Lytechinus pictus: one gene and its partners. The protein of the gene in region 2 purifies or fractionates together with the protein of the main gene of each other region. This does not show direct contact. Links are inferred from orthologs where the notes say so. Each region holds a gene or a part of one and is shown on either strand. Other genes may lie near its edges.

Region 1 (3,754 bases), on a different chromosome or scaffold from region 2:
TTTCCGTGCTCAGTAATTAATTAATGAATTCCATCTTAACCCCCCCTCCCCGGTAACTTTATATCTGTAAAATCTCAAAGTCTTATTATAGCATAATAGGCTCACAATTCACTGATTCACATACGGCCTTTAAATTGCCAATGACAATTTTATGTCGAAAATTTCGAAGCTTCCACTAATTACATTTTATTGCAATCTGAGAATGTGCATAATACTTGTACAATGGAATTATGCAGGTATAACAAGTCATGTACAATAATGTTCTTCATTGGCAAATTTTGTGAACGTATTATATTACAGGGGCCGCGGAAGCGGGAGGCTGGGGCTTCACCCCCCCCCCCCACTTTATTCCAAACCGTGTACATAAACGCAAAAATGACCATATGATTGTGATTTTTTGCATGGTCAGCCCCCCCACATTTGGCTCAGCCCCCCCCCCCACTTTGAAAACCGTTCCGCGGCCCCCGTATTATATGCCTGCTTTCAACCCTTTTATTTTTTCCCCGGTCGCGCGATTCCAAAGTCTAATTCTGAGACTATAATGTAAACAAGTTCACGTCGGTAGTTCATGATCATTGTTTAGCAGGTTATCTTACTACAAACCATATAATGATTTTCGTTCATAATTACTGACATAACGGTTGAGTGTTTTGCTCCTTATTAATTGTATAGGCGTATTAGCAGACGACACTGCGTATGATATGCCTAAATGTGACTTTGTGAGAATATGAGTCGGTCTATAATAATCATGCTTACCATAAAACCATGTCCAGGTTCGATAGGAGCTACTTTGAGAATTCCAACGGTCACCACTAAAATTGCAATCACGAATGTGAGATAGTACATTCCATTGGCCATGTTTGGCAATTTTTTTCTCCCTATATAGATCAACTAATGTTCTATCCAGCTTGAAGCCAAGAAAAATGATGGTCACCGAAAGACAGTTATCTTTTAAAGGTCTGTAGTCACGTAGACAGAGAATGAAAGCCGATGAAATGACCCTTGCGACTGATGCAATGTTTACAATAGATCAATATGACCTGCTCCGTGGTACCAAGTGATATTTCAAAAAAATATGATTCATATTTGACAAGCTACGGTTAGCTGCCCTTACTCAATTAAATAGCTTGGGGACGCTCAAACACCTGTCAAACACTTGAAATTCGAGCAAGATTGAAGTGGTATAGCGCCATCTTCAGTCTTATTTTGTACATGTATTGGGTAATAATTTTCGGTCATGCTGCTGCAGTGTCGGTACCTGACGCCAAAGAAGACTAAAATCTGTGCAAAATGGGAGGCGCTCTGAGGAGAATTGCTACAAACTTTAATGTGGAGAGCAGGGCACATCGTTTACTGGACCAGCAGAAGCCAAGACCTGCCCCGAAACATCCCAAGACAGCTGATAAAATAGCCCAGTATCAGAGAGGTAAATCTTGACCTTGCGAAGCTAAGGCTAAGCTTCACTCTGTCCGAGTCCGAGCGCTAGTTGAGTACCGGTAGTTCCGGAGAACTCTCCCGCCGCGAGGCCGGCCTATGTCAAGTGAGCCAACAATAAGCCAGCCAACAGCAAGCCAGCCAACAGTTCCAGCCAACAATATCGCGATATAAGATAGATCAGATACAGGATTATGCGCAAGAAGAGAATTAAGCGTGCATTCTTGTAGAAATCAAACAAACGGGGTCAGGGCTACACGGGCCTAATCACTAGTGGCAGGCCATAGATATTCATTCGAGCCAACCCATTGCCATTTTTTTTAATTTTGATATGGCTGATTGACAAAGTGTATGCATATGATTTTCCATCTAACACTGATTCTATTTTTGGTAATTACTGAACTTCCTTTTCCCAAATTGGGAAGAAATATCACCAATTTTGGACTGTATTTTGACTGGCGGAAGGATTAGGGCTATTTTGCTGTTTGAGGTGATGAATCTGCTCCCCCCGACGCTGTCTTCAAACACGCCAATTTATTTTTAAAATGAGCCAGTCGAAGGACCCTTTTCTGGTCAGATATGGATTGCCAGATATATATCCTATCCACTGGTAGTAAACATTCGACCCCCGAATTTCATCCTTATTTTTTATGAATTTTGTAAAGTGCCAATTTAACACACGAGTCTATGGGGAATGAATTAGGCCTGTGAGACCTCAGGTGGGGTTTTCCTTCTTTCAATTTGTAAAGAAAAACAACGGGCTAGTGCTTTAGTTTTAGTAGCCCACACCCCTATATACTCGATGTTTTTTCGTATATTGAGGAGTAAATTTCAACCAAAAGTCCTCTTTATAAAATACAATTGGAAGATTGCTCCTGAAATATATTTTGGGTGTGTGTAGGGGGGTTTCCCTTCTTTCAATTTGTAAAGAAAAACAACGGGCTAGTGCTTTAGTTTTAGTAGCCCACACCCCTATATACTCGATGTTTTTTCGTATATTGAGGAGTAAATTTCAACCAAAAGTCCTCTTTATAAAATACAATTGGAAGATTGCTCCTGAAATATATTTTGGGTGTGTGTAGGGGGGTTTCCCTTCTTTCAATTTGTAAAGAAAAACAACGGGCTAGTGCTTTAGTTTTAGTAGCCCACACCCCTATATACTCGATGTTTTTTCGTATATTGAGGAGTAAATTTCAACCAAAAGTCCTCTTTATAAAATACAATTGGAAGATTGCTCCTGAAATATATTTTGGGTGTGTGTAGGGGGTTTTCCTTCTTTCAATTTGTAAAGAAAAACAACGGGCTAGTGCTTTAGTTTTAGTAGCCCACACCCCTATATACTCGATGTTTTTTCGTATATTGAGGAGTAAATTTCAACCAAAAGTCCTCTTTATAAAATACAATTGGAAGATTGCTCCTGAAATATATTTTGGGTGTGTGTAGGGGGGTTTCCCTTCTTTCAATTTGTAAAGAAAAACAACGGGCTAGTGCTTTAGTTTTAGTAGCCCACACCCCTATATACTCGATGTTTTTTCGTATATTGAGGAGTAAATTTCAACCAAAAGTCCTCTTTATAAAATACAATTGGAAGATTGCTCCTGAAATATATTTTGGGTGTGTGTAGGGGGGTTTCCCTTCTTTCAATTTGTAAAGAAAAACAACGGGCTAGTGCTTTAGTTTTAGTAGCCCACACCCCTATATACTCGATGTTTTTTCGTATATTGAGGAGTAAATTTCAACCAAAAGTCCTCTTTATAAAATACAATTGGAAGATTGCTCCTGAAATATATTTTGGGTGTGTGTAGGGGGGTTTCCCTTCTTTCAATTTGTAAAGAAAAACAACGGGCTAGTGCTTTAGTTTTAGTAGCCCACACCCCTATATACTCGATGTTTTTTCGTATATTGAGGAGTAAATTTCAACCAAAAGTCCTCTTTATAAAATACAATTGGAAGATTGCTCCTGAAATATATTTTGGGTGTGTGTAGGGGGTTTTCCTTCTTTCAATTTGTAAAGAAAAACAACGGGCTAGTGCTTTAGTTTTAGTAGCCCACACCCCTATATACTCGATGTTTTTTCGTATATTGAGGAGTAAATTTCAACCAAAAGTCCTCTTTATAAAATACAATTGGAAGATTGCTCCTGAAATATATTTTGGGTGTGTGTAGGGGGGTTTCCCTTCTTTCAATTTGTAAAGAAAAACAACGGGCTAGTGCTTTAGTTTTAGTAGCCCACACCCCTATATACTCGATGTTTTTTCGTATATTGAGGAGTAAATTTCAACCAAAAGTCCTCTTTATAAAATACAATTGGAAGATTGCT
Region 2 (3,754 bases):
AATAAACCTCTGTGAAGTTACATGTTTAAAAGTGAAAACACACAGTTTACTTCTGGTTGGTTAGTTTACTAACTATTGCTGTCCTATAGACATCCCAGACATGCCTGCGTCCATTACATAACACCCCCAGGCACGCAGCCGAGTGAAAGACTTGAATCCCTTCTCTGGTCTGAGATTAGCCTTGATTTCCCCATGATTTGTCAATGAAAGGTCGCTTTAACATTGCAAGTGTTGCCATGGCTGCCAGCCACAAAAACTTGCGAATGCATTGCTTTTGAATTGGCGGTGAATTTATAACATGAAGAAATAAATAATAAATGAATAACGATAGAATCTAGACCTATCCTATGTTAAATGTTCCACTTTATTTGTCTTCTTTTTGAAATGCCAATTCGATTATCATATTAGTAGAAATACAAGCTACAGCATCATCATTTTTGTCTCGCCCACCGGAGGTGAAGACGAGACTTAGGGATCCAAATGTCGTCCGTCCGTCGTCCGTCCGTCACAAACCTAATGACACATAACTCCACAACCGTAAGTCGCTTTTCAACCAAACTTGGATGGTAGATGGACTTGGGGGACCTGCATGTTAATAGTTGGAGGTCACATGGTAAGGTCAAAGGTCATTTTCAGGTCAACGTTAAAGTTTACATGCAAGACTCTCTTATGACACCTAACTCCGCAACCGTAAGTCGCTTTTCAACCAAACTTGGATGGTAGATGGACTTGGGGGACCTGCATGTTATGCTGCAGTTGGAGGTCACATGGTAAGGTCAAAGGTCATTTTCAGGTCAACATTAAAGTTTACGTGCAAGGCTCTTATGACAAGTGTTATTCCAACCCAGTCATTTCACAATGAAGTTTCGATACAATTCTGTTGCGTGCCCTCGCAAATCACGATATTTCTGCTTATTTTCATAAGTGGGCGAGACACAAAATCGCTTTTGCCTTGTTTATATTACAAATGGCTTTAGAAATCCACATTTTGTCTTTGTAGGATACACAATGTTTGCTGGTATGGCTGGAATTATGACCTTTGGCTTTGTTACCTTGGCAATGAGCAATAAACAAAGGAGGTGAGTTTGTAGGCTTCAGGGCAGAAATCTAGGATAGTAAACTGCACTGTATCAACTCTTACATTTCAAATATACACCTAAATGCCCAGTATCATTTGACTAGTTTTGTTTATTTATTTACTGTTTTTTTTATTGTTTTCTAATTATCATTTTGTATTGTTACTTAATTTATCAGTTGAGAAATAAAAACATGCTTCTGAATATTTTTCTAAAACAGTATGAAGTATGTGTGAAGTTTGGTAATGTAATGGTATTGAAATGGAAATCAGTTTTGATATTAAAAGATGTTTTTGGTAAAATGTACCATAAGATATTTAATCATGGCATTTATTAAGGCGACCGCACACCTTACGATTGGTATGCGACCCGATCTCAGAATAAAATGTTCTAGAATTTGATGCTAATATTGGAATATCTTACTGTGTAATGTTCGAAATCATCGTAGGAATACCTATGTTCAAATCTGTGACTATGCTATCATCCTTCTTAGAATAAAAGCGAATTTAATATCTAGTCGTAATGACGTCATAGCAGTCGTACGATTGGCTACGATTTGAAACTAATTTGGTCTTTACTCCAAAATAAAGGTTTGCAATCTGTCAAAATGGTTATATTAGTATTCTTTCATTTAATTTTAACCTCAAATAAAATGATATGTTCCATTCACATTTTCAGAAAATGAGCAAAGTGCAATTTGTTCCAAAATCGGATCGCGAACAGTCGTAATGTGTGCGGTGGCCTTTAAAGCTATGTCCATTCAAAACATGAATGGGGTAGAGTGATGAGAGCTATAACAGGATGCATGTCTATAAGCCTTTTGACGGTTGTAAACTGCGCACGAGCAGAAAAAGGTCATTGGAGACAACCATGAAGGTGGCTTTCAAATTCACTGACATAGGCATTTGTGATTTGATGATTATTCATGTATTCCTTTCAAAATATTTATCACATCCAAGCTGAAGAGTAATAAATAGAGCCTTCATAATCACTGGTATTTGACAGTAGCCTAAACAATAGTCAAATGTGCCAAAGGCAGACAATAAAAAAGATTTCCAAACTTTATCCCTGATGTACTATTCTAGTCACCTGGTCTATACAATGCCTTTTGTTCGTAGAATTTGAATACTCTACTGGTAAAGCTTACGCAACATCTACATTTGAAAATGATAGTGCTTATCCTAATGAAAAATCACAAAGGTCATTTGAGAAAATTTGATCATGAGCTAACCGTGAACTGGCTTATTGTTTAAGAGTCACCTATTCTGTGAAAGCTGGTGAATCTCAATTCCATTTCGCCTATTAATTTGTACACATTGTCATCAATTTTTTTTTTCTTTACAGGAAATGGATCCAAGAGGATCGTGAATCCAAGATAGCAATAATGCCTCTTATTTGGGCAGAAAAGGACAGAGAGTATGTTTCCATGTTTAGTGATTACTCTTAATGCTAATATTTAAATTGGGGAACAGTAGTGTATAATGAAACAAAATTTTTATCTTTTTTGGAACTACATTGTATTTTGCTTCACATTCATATTACAAACTCTAAAAGTTTACTAAACAAAGGTGATTATGAAATCTCATCATTTGTTTGCTATAATCTTGAGAATACCTAAACAAGAAAATCTACACATTGACATATCCCAGGGTTTGAAGTACAACTCCAAGGAATCAAAAACATGGTTCTCAAGCTGTCATACACATTTCAAATGATTTTATGCTTGAAATATTGTATGTTTCCATCATCTTGTGGAATTTTTAAAATGCTCGTATTTTCCAAAGTTGCGATTTCTTTAAACACACTGATCTTGCACGTGATTTTCATATTGTCTAAAATTTACTCAAGAAAATATATCTGGGATATCAGTATTGCTTATTCAGAGGAATAATAACTAGACTTAGGTTGAAAGGAAAAACAATGATCATATATTTTTGGAGCAAAAGGAGGGGGGACTCATACAGATTTCTTACACAGATAATACGTGTTGATTGAGAGGCTCATCTCTATGTGTTTCCTATCTTCCAGGATGCTTCTGAGGCTACAATACAACAGGGAACAGGAGGCTGAGATCATGAAGGATGTCCCAGGCTGGACCATCGGTGAAGGTGTCTTCAACTCCAAGAGATGGTACGAACCAGGTCTTCTAGACCTCTACTACCTAGAACCCTCCAAGGAAAGGAACAAGAAAGTCTTTGGCTTCAACACTTTCACAGGAACATAAATGAATAGTTGTGTGCTCTAAAGGGGACCAATCACTGAATATTATTTTGTTATCCTGTGGTGGCTTGATGTAGATCACCAAAACTTGTACCCCTTCAAATTTGTCAATACCCCAAATGGTATATTTCTGATGTTAATATATTAGAAGCAAGATTTTAACAACTGATTTTGTATCTTGATACAACCCAAGATAAGCAAACTAATTACTGCAGTGTTCTTACATTGTTTATTGTTTATCTTTGGACAGAATTTATCTTTCTGTTTCGGAGTTACAAGAATTGTTTTGTCTCAGTTTCTGCTTTTGTAGACAAATCAAACGGGGGAACAAAGCAAAATAGCCGTGAGTGGTTGGTCCCCCTTGAGAAAATAGTTAATTAGATTTTAGAGTTATACTGCATTCGGGATCTACGAAACTAATTTTGTTCTGGGATGCAGATGTAGGCTTGATTGATATG
Region 3 (3,754 bases), on a different chromosome or scaffold from region 2:
TCGCGTGTAATCATGAAAAATCCTGTTCACATCATGATATGACCGGGAGGAAATTTTTGGCTCTCCCCCCCCCCCCCCGCGCCGGCCGGCCCGCGGCCCGGCCGGCCGCCGATCGACCCTTAGCTGTTTCACCCATGCATGCTGCTTACGATAGACTATTTTCCATGTACTGAAATGAACAACGTCAAAAATTCTCAAGCTCCCTGCAGAAGTCTCATAGGCATGCACAGTTAAGCTCGGGGCGTAACAGGGGTCGGTTGCCGGGGAGGGGCAAGAGCCAAAAATATCCCGGTCATAATGTGAACAGGATTTTTCAGGACGTGCATATTATTATAACTGTTTTGTGAAATTAAGCAAAATTTTTAAAAGTCATAACTTTCTTATTTTATATCCGATTTTGATGAAATTTTCGGTGTTATGCTTGTTGGATTTTTCTCTTTTTATTCAAACAAATTTTTTGTGGGGTGGACTTGTCCTTTAAGTGCTTTTCTTTCTTTTCTCCTTTTCTTTTTTTGCTTGTTTGTTCTTGGTCGTAGAAATTTTTGGGACTCCCTTCCTCTCCATATAGATTCAGTCATTTACCTTGATGGCCGCTATTTTCAATCAAATCACGCGGGTATACAGGTTTTACGGAGGTTTTACGAAACAAATTTTCTATAACATCAAGAGCGAGTTTTTGCCCTATGAAAATGAAATTATGTAGGCCTCATTAAATTGACATAATTTATAAGGCAATGCTTGGACGGTACCTCTGCATGGAACCTCTCTAATAATCTTCTGTAATATTGTCCTGATTGCGATCGTTATTGCCATTTAGCAAGTTATCATACATTAATAAGCCATCTCATGCTTTAATTTATTATTAATCTTTGGTAGCCCAGACTGTGTCTTCATTTTTTTCTTCATTTTTAAAAATTCAGCTTGAGCATATTAAGACCTATACCACGTACCGGGGTCTATACTTACCTCATTGTTCTATTTCATTTTCCGTCACTTTTCTCACTCCTCAGTTTTCCCGCCATAAATTCCCGTTCCACGTGGCCATCTCTTGGTTCTCCTTTCTCTCCTATTTATTAGTATTTCGGGATTATTTTTTCTTATACCTAGATCTATACGCGTAGGCCCCCTATTCGTGTTTTTTTCCTTTTCCTTCCGTTTTACCTTTCTTCTCTTAATTTATCGGCTTTCTTTTTCCCCTCAATTCTTTCCCCTTTCTCCCCCCCCCCCCCCTCTTTCCTCTTTTTCTTCCTTTTCATTTTCTTTAATTCTGTCTTAGCTTTCCCCGGTTTTTTTTCCTGGTGAGCTCCGCCAGGGTGGGCAGACTGCCACTCCTGCCCCAACCCCGGCTGTTGCACCGCTAAGCTCCCCTAAAACTTTTGGTCTCGAACCTTGCCTGTGGCCGTACTCAGCTTGGCCGAAATGTCGCGGTGCATGCATATACCATAGAGATGTATTCTATGGCATATACTCACATACTAATATAATGGGTTCCCATATATATAATGCACGTGATGTACGTACGTGATGTATACCGGTACGTGTACCAAAGGCAAAGATGCTCTCCGAGCGGCCGGCCGACGTCCGACCTGGGTAAGTGGTAAGTTCAGAAACACTCTATGAGAAAGTCTGTAAAACCAAGGTTAATTGTTACTTTATAATCGTAGGTGGATCTAGATCTGGTACAGGTACATTAACTGAACTTTGTTAATACATGAAAGGCTGAAATCTAAGGAAGACTAGCTGAAAAGATCACGCTGCTCTGCACTGATGACTGATCACCAACACAGATAAGCACATGTGGGACAATGTACTATTGTTATTGCTCGGAAAGGGGGGGGGGGGGGGGGTCGGAATATTTCCCCTCAGACTCGAAGGGGTCCGGCGGAGGGATCATTTGGCATTTTCTTGATTTAATTCACTGCCGTTCATTTCAGGGTGACCAGAAAATGAAATATGGGACAAAAAGCACGATGCACGATCGGAGCAACTGATAAAAAAAAATCAACAAACACAATGTTTGATAAGAAAAGGAAAGGGAGGGTGAACGAAAGAATGAAGGAGAGAAAGAAAATAGGAAAGAAAAGAGATGGAATAGAGGAAAGAAATACAAAATGAAGGGGGAAATGAAAATGAAGGAAATTTTTTTTTTAAAATTAGAATGAAAGGTCGGATGAATAAAAGAAAAAAAGGTTTACTTTCTGCCATTCTTTGAAATGAATAAAGAAAGGAAGGGAAGATGAATGAATGCATGTGTGATATAATAAATAAATGAGAGAAAGGAAAAAAAAAGAAAGTAAGAAAAAAAAAGAAGAAAGAAAAAGGTTTCCTTCATTCTTTGAAAGAAAGAAAGATGGAAAAAACAGGAAAGGAAAGAATGAATAAGGGGAAAAGAGAAAATAAAGAATGAAAGAAAGCCGATGAAAGGGAGAGAGGAGAGTATGAAAAAAAAGAAAACTAATGGAAGGAGAGAAAGAACGAAAATGAAAAGGAGAGGAAGGGAGAAGGAAGCAAAGAAAAGTTCAAGGAAAGAATTAAAGAATGAAGGAAATAAAAAAAGGTATTTAAAAGAAGGAAAGTAAGAGAAAGAAAGAAAAATGAACAGAGAGAGAGAGAAAGGATCAGAAAAGAAAGCGAGGAAAGATTGGAAATAAAGATAGATGGAACAAAAAAAGGCAAGCAGGAAGGATAGAAGGATGAAGAAAGAAGGATAAAAAATAAAAATGAAACAAAGGAAAAAAGTTCAAACTTCAAGCAAGCAAAAATATCCAATCATCTTCATGATATTTGGGTTTTTAAAAATCTATTTTAAAAATTGTTAGAACACTAAAATGTTTTAGAAATGAATAAAATTTCAAAGTGAAACATTGTCAAACTTAAAAATTAGATGAAACATCGCAGCATCACACATCTCTCATCCCATGACAAGTTAGCACTGATCACAACAAGACTTAAAACGAAACCTGAAACAACTAGATCTAGTTATGAAAACTCAATATCTTGCTCCACCGATTACATCACCAAATCAGTAATCTGAGAATCCATAATATAAAAATTAAAATTGCCCGCCCATTTTGTGATTATTTTGGTGGAAAAACTGTTGATCATGTGAGATTGTTTGCACCATTGAGAATCTGCTCCGATCCTAGTAGCCTGCCACACACACAGACAGGAAGCCATTGCAAGCCGCAGAACTTGCAAAAGTTTACAGTAATTTTATTGTTGTCTCTCCTTTGTCATCTGTTGGTTATTTTCCCAGGTTATTTTTATGAAAATTCTTCACTTTTCTATGTATTAATTACATTTTGTTCAATATTCTGACATACGGGACAAATAGGCGTCCCGGGAAGGGTTTGTCGGGACGCCGGGACAAAGAAGCAAAATACGGTATGTCTGGTCACCCTGGTTCATTTCGTCAGTGGAGGTGACTTCTTTCCTCTCCCATTGACTTTGTACACAACCATGACAACAAGCGCACACAGGAGAAGAGAGGTGACTTATTTCAGGATAAGGCCGATCATTTTTATTTTGTGAGTGATTGTGTTTGTGAGCGATCATGTATGTATTTATAAATTATAGTATCTATAGCCTTTATAGGGAACTTTTTTGTTTTAATACTGTGCCTGTGCCCGGTGCCGGTGGCCAGGCAATTTTAAATTGCCTTGGATGTGCAAAGTTTTCTATCTGCTGTTGACATCAGGGTTGACTTGAGTTGAAGCCATTTTTTTTTTTGGCATTCGTCAGCTGGTGTTGATGT

Evidence for each region.
Region 1: the proteins of NADH dehydrogenase [ubiquinone] 1 alpha subcomplex subunit 13-like (region 2) and NADH dehydrogenase [ubiquinone] 1 alpha subcomplex assembly factor 4-like purify together in Homo sapiens (co-immunoprecipitation; 4 studies listed by BioGRID and IntAct, counting the BioPlex papers as one, with this or other methods). This does not show direct contact. The link is inferred for Lytechinus pictus from reciprocal best matches to the Homo sapiens genes NDUFA13 and NDUFAF4.
Region 3: the proteins of NADH dehydrogenase [ubiquinone] 1 alpha subcomplex subunit 13-like (region 2) and complex I intermediate-associated protein 30, mitochondrial-like purify together in Homo sapiens (co-immunoprecipitation; 3 studies listed by BioGRID and IntAct, counting the BioPlex papers as one, with this or other methods). This does not show direct contact. The link is inferred for Lytechinus pictus from reciprocal best matches to the Homo sapiens genes NDUFA13 and NDUFAF1.

What each region holds. Positions count from the first base shown.
Region 1 is NC_087248.1:7,420,619-7,424,372, forward strand, and holds the start of NADH dehydrogenase [ubiquinone] 1 alpha subcomplex assembly factor 4-like, read left to right. Parts: upstream 1-1,290; coding exon 1,291-1,426; exon of another isoform or gene 1,427-1,521; intron 1,522-3,754. Other genes in the region: uncharacterized protein LOC129258495, read right to left, coding at 757-858. UniProt on the Homo sapiens protein: Involved in the assembly of mitochondrial NADH:ubiquinone oxidoreductase complex (complex I). May be involved in cell proliferation and survival of hormone-dependent tumor cells. May be a regulator of breast tumor cell invasion.
Region 2 is NC_087249.1:30,218,630-30,222,383, reverse strand, and holds the start of NADH dehydrogenase [ubiquinone] 1 alpha subcomplex subunit 13-like, read left to right. Parts: upstream 1-968; 5' UTR 969-1,008; coding exon 1,009-1,079; intron 1,080-2,420; coding exon 2,421-2,492; intron 2,493-3,104; coding exon 3,105-3,300; 3' UTR 3,301-3,754. UniProt on the Homo sapiens protein: Accessory subunit of the mitochondrial membrane respiratory chain NADH dehydrogenase (Complex I), that is believed not to be involved in catalysis. Complex I functions in the transfer of electrons from NADH to the respiratory chain.
Region 3 is NC_087251.1:31,762,910-31,766,663, reverse strand, and holds the start of complex I intermediate-associated protein 30, mitochondrial-like, read left to right. Parts: upstream 1-1,275; 5' UTR 1,276-1,597; intron 1,598-3,754. UniProt on the Homo sapiens protein: As part of the MCIA complex, involved in the assembly of the mitochondrial complex I.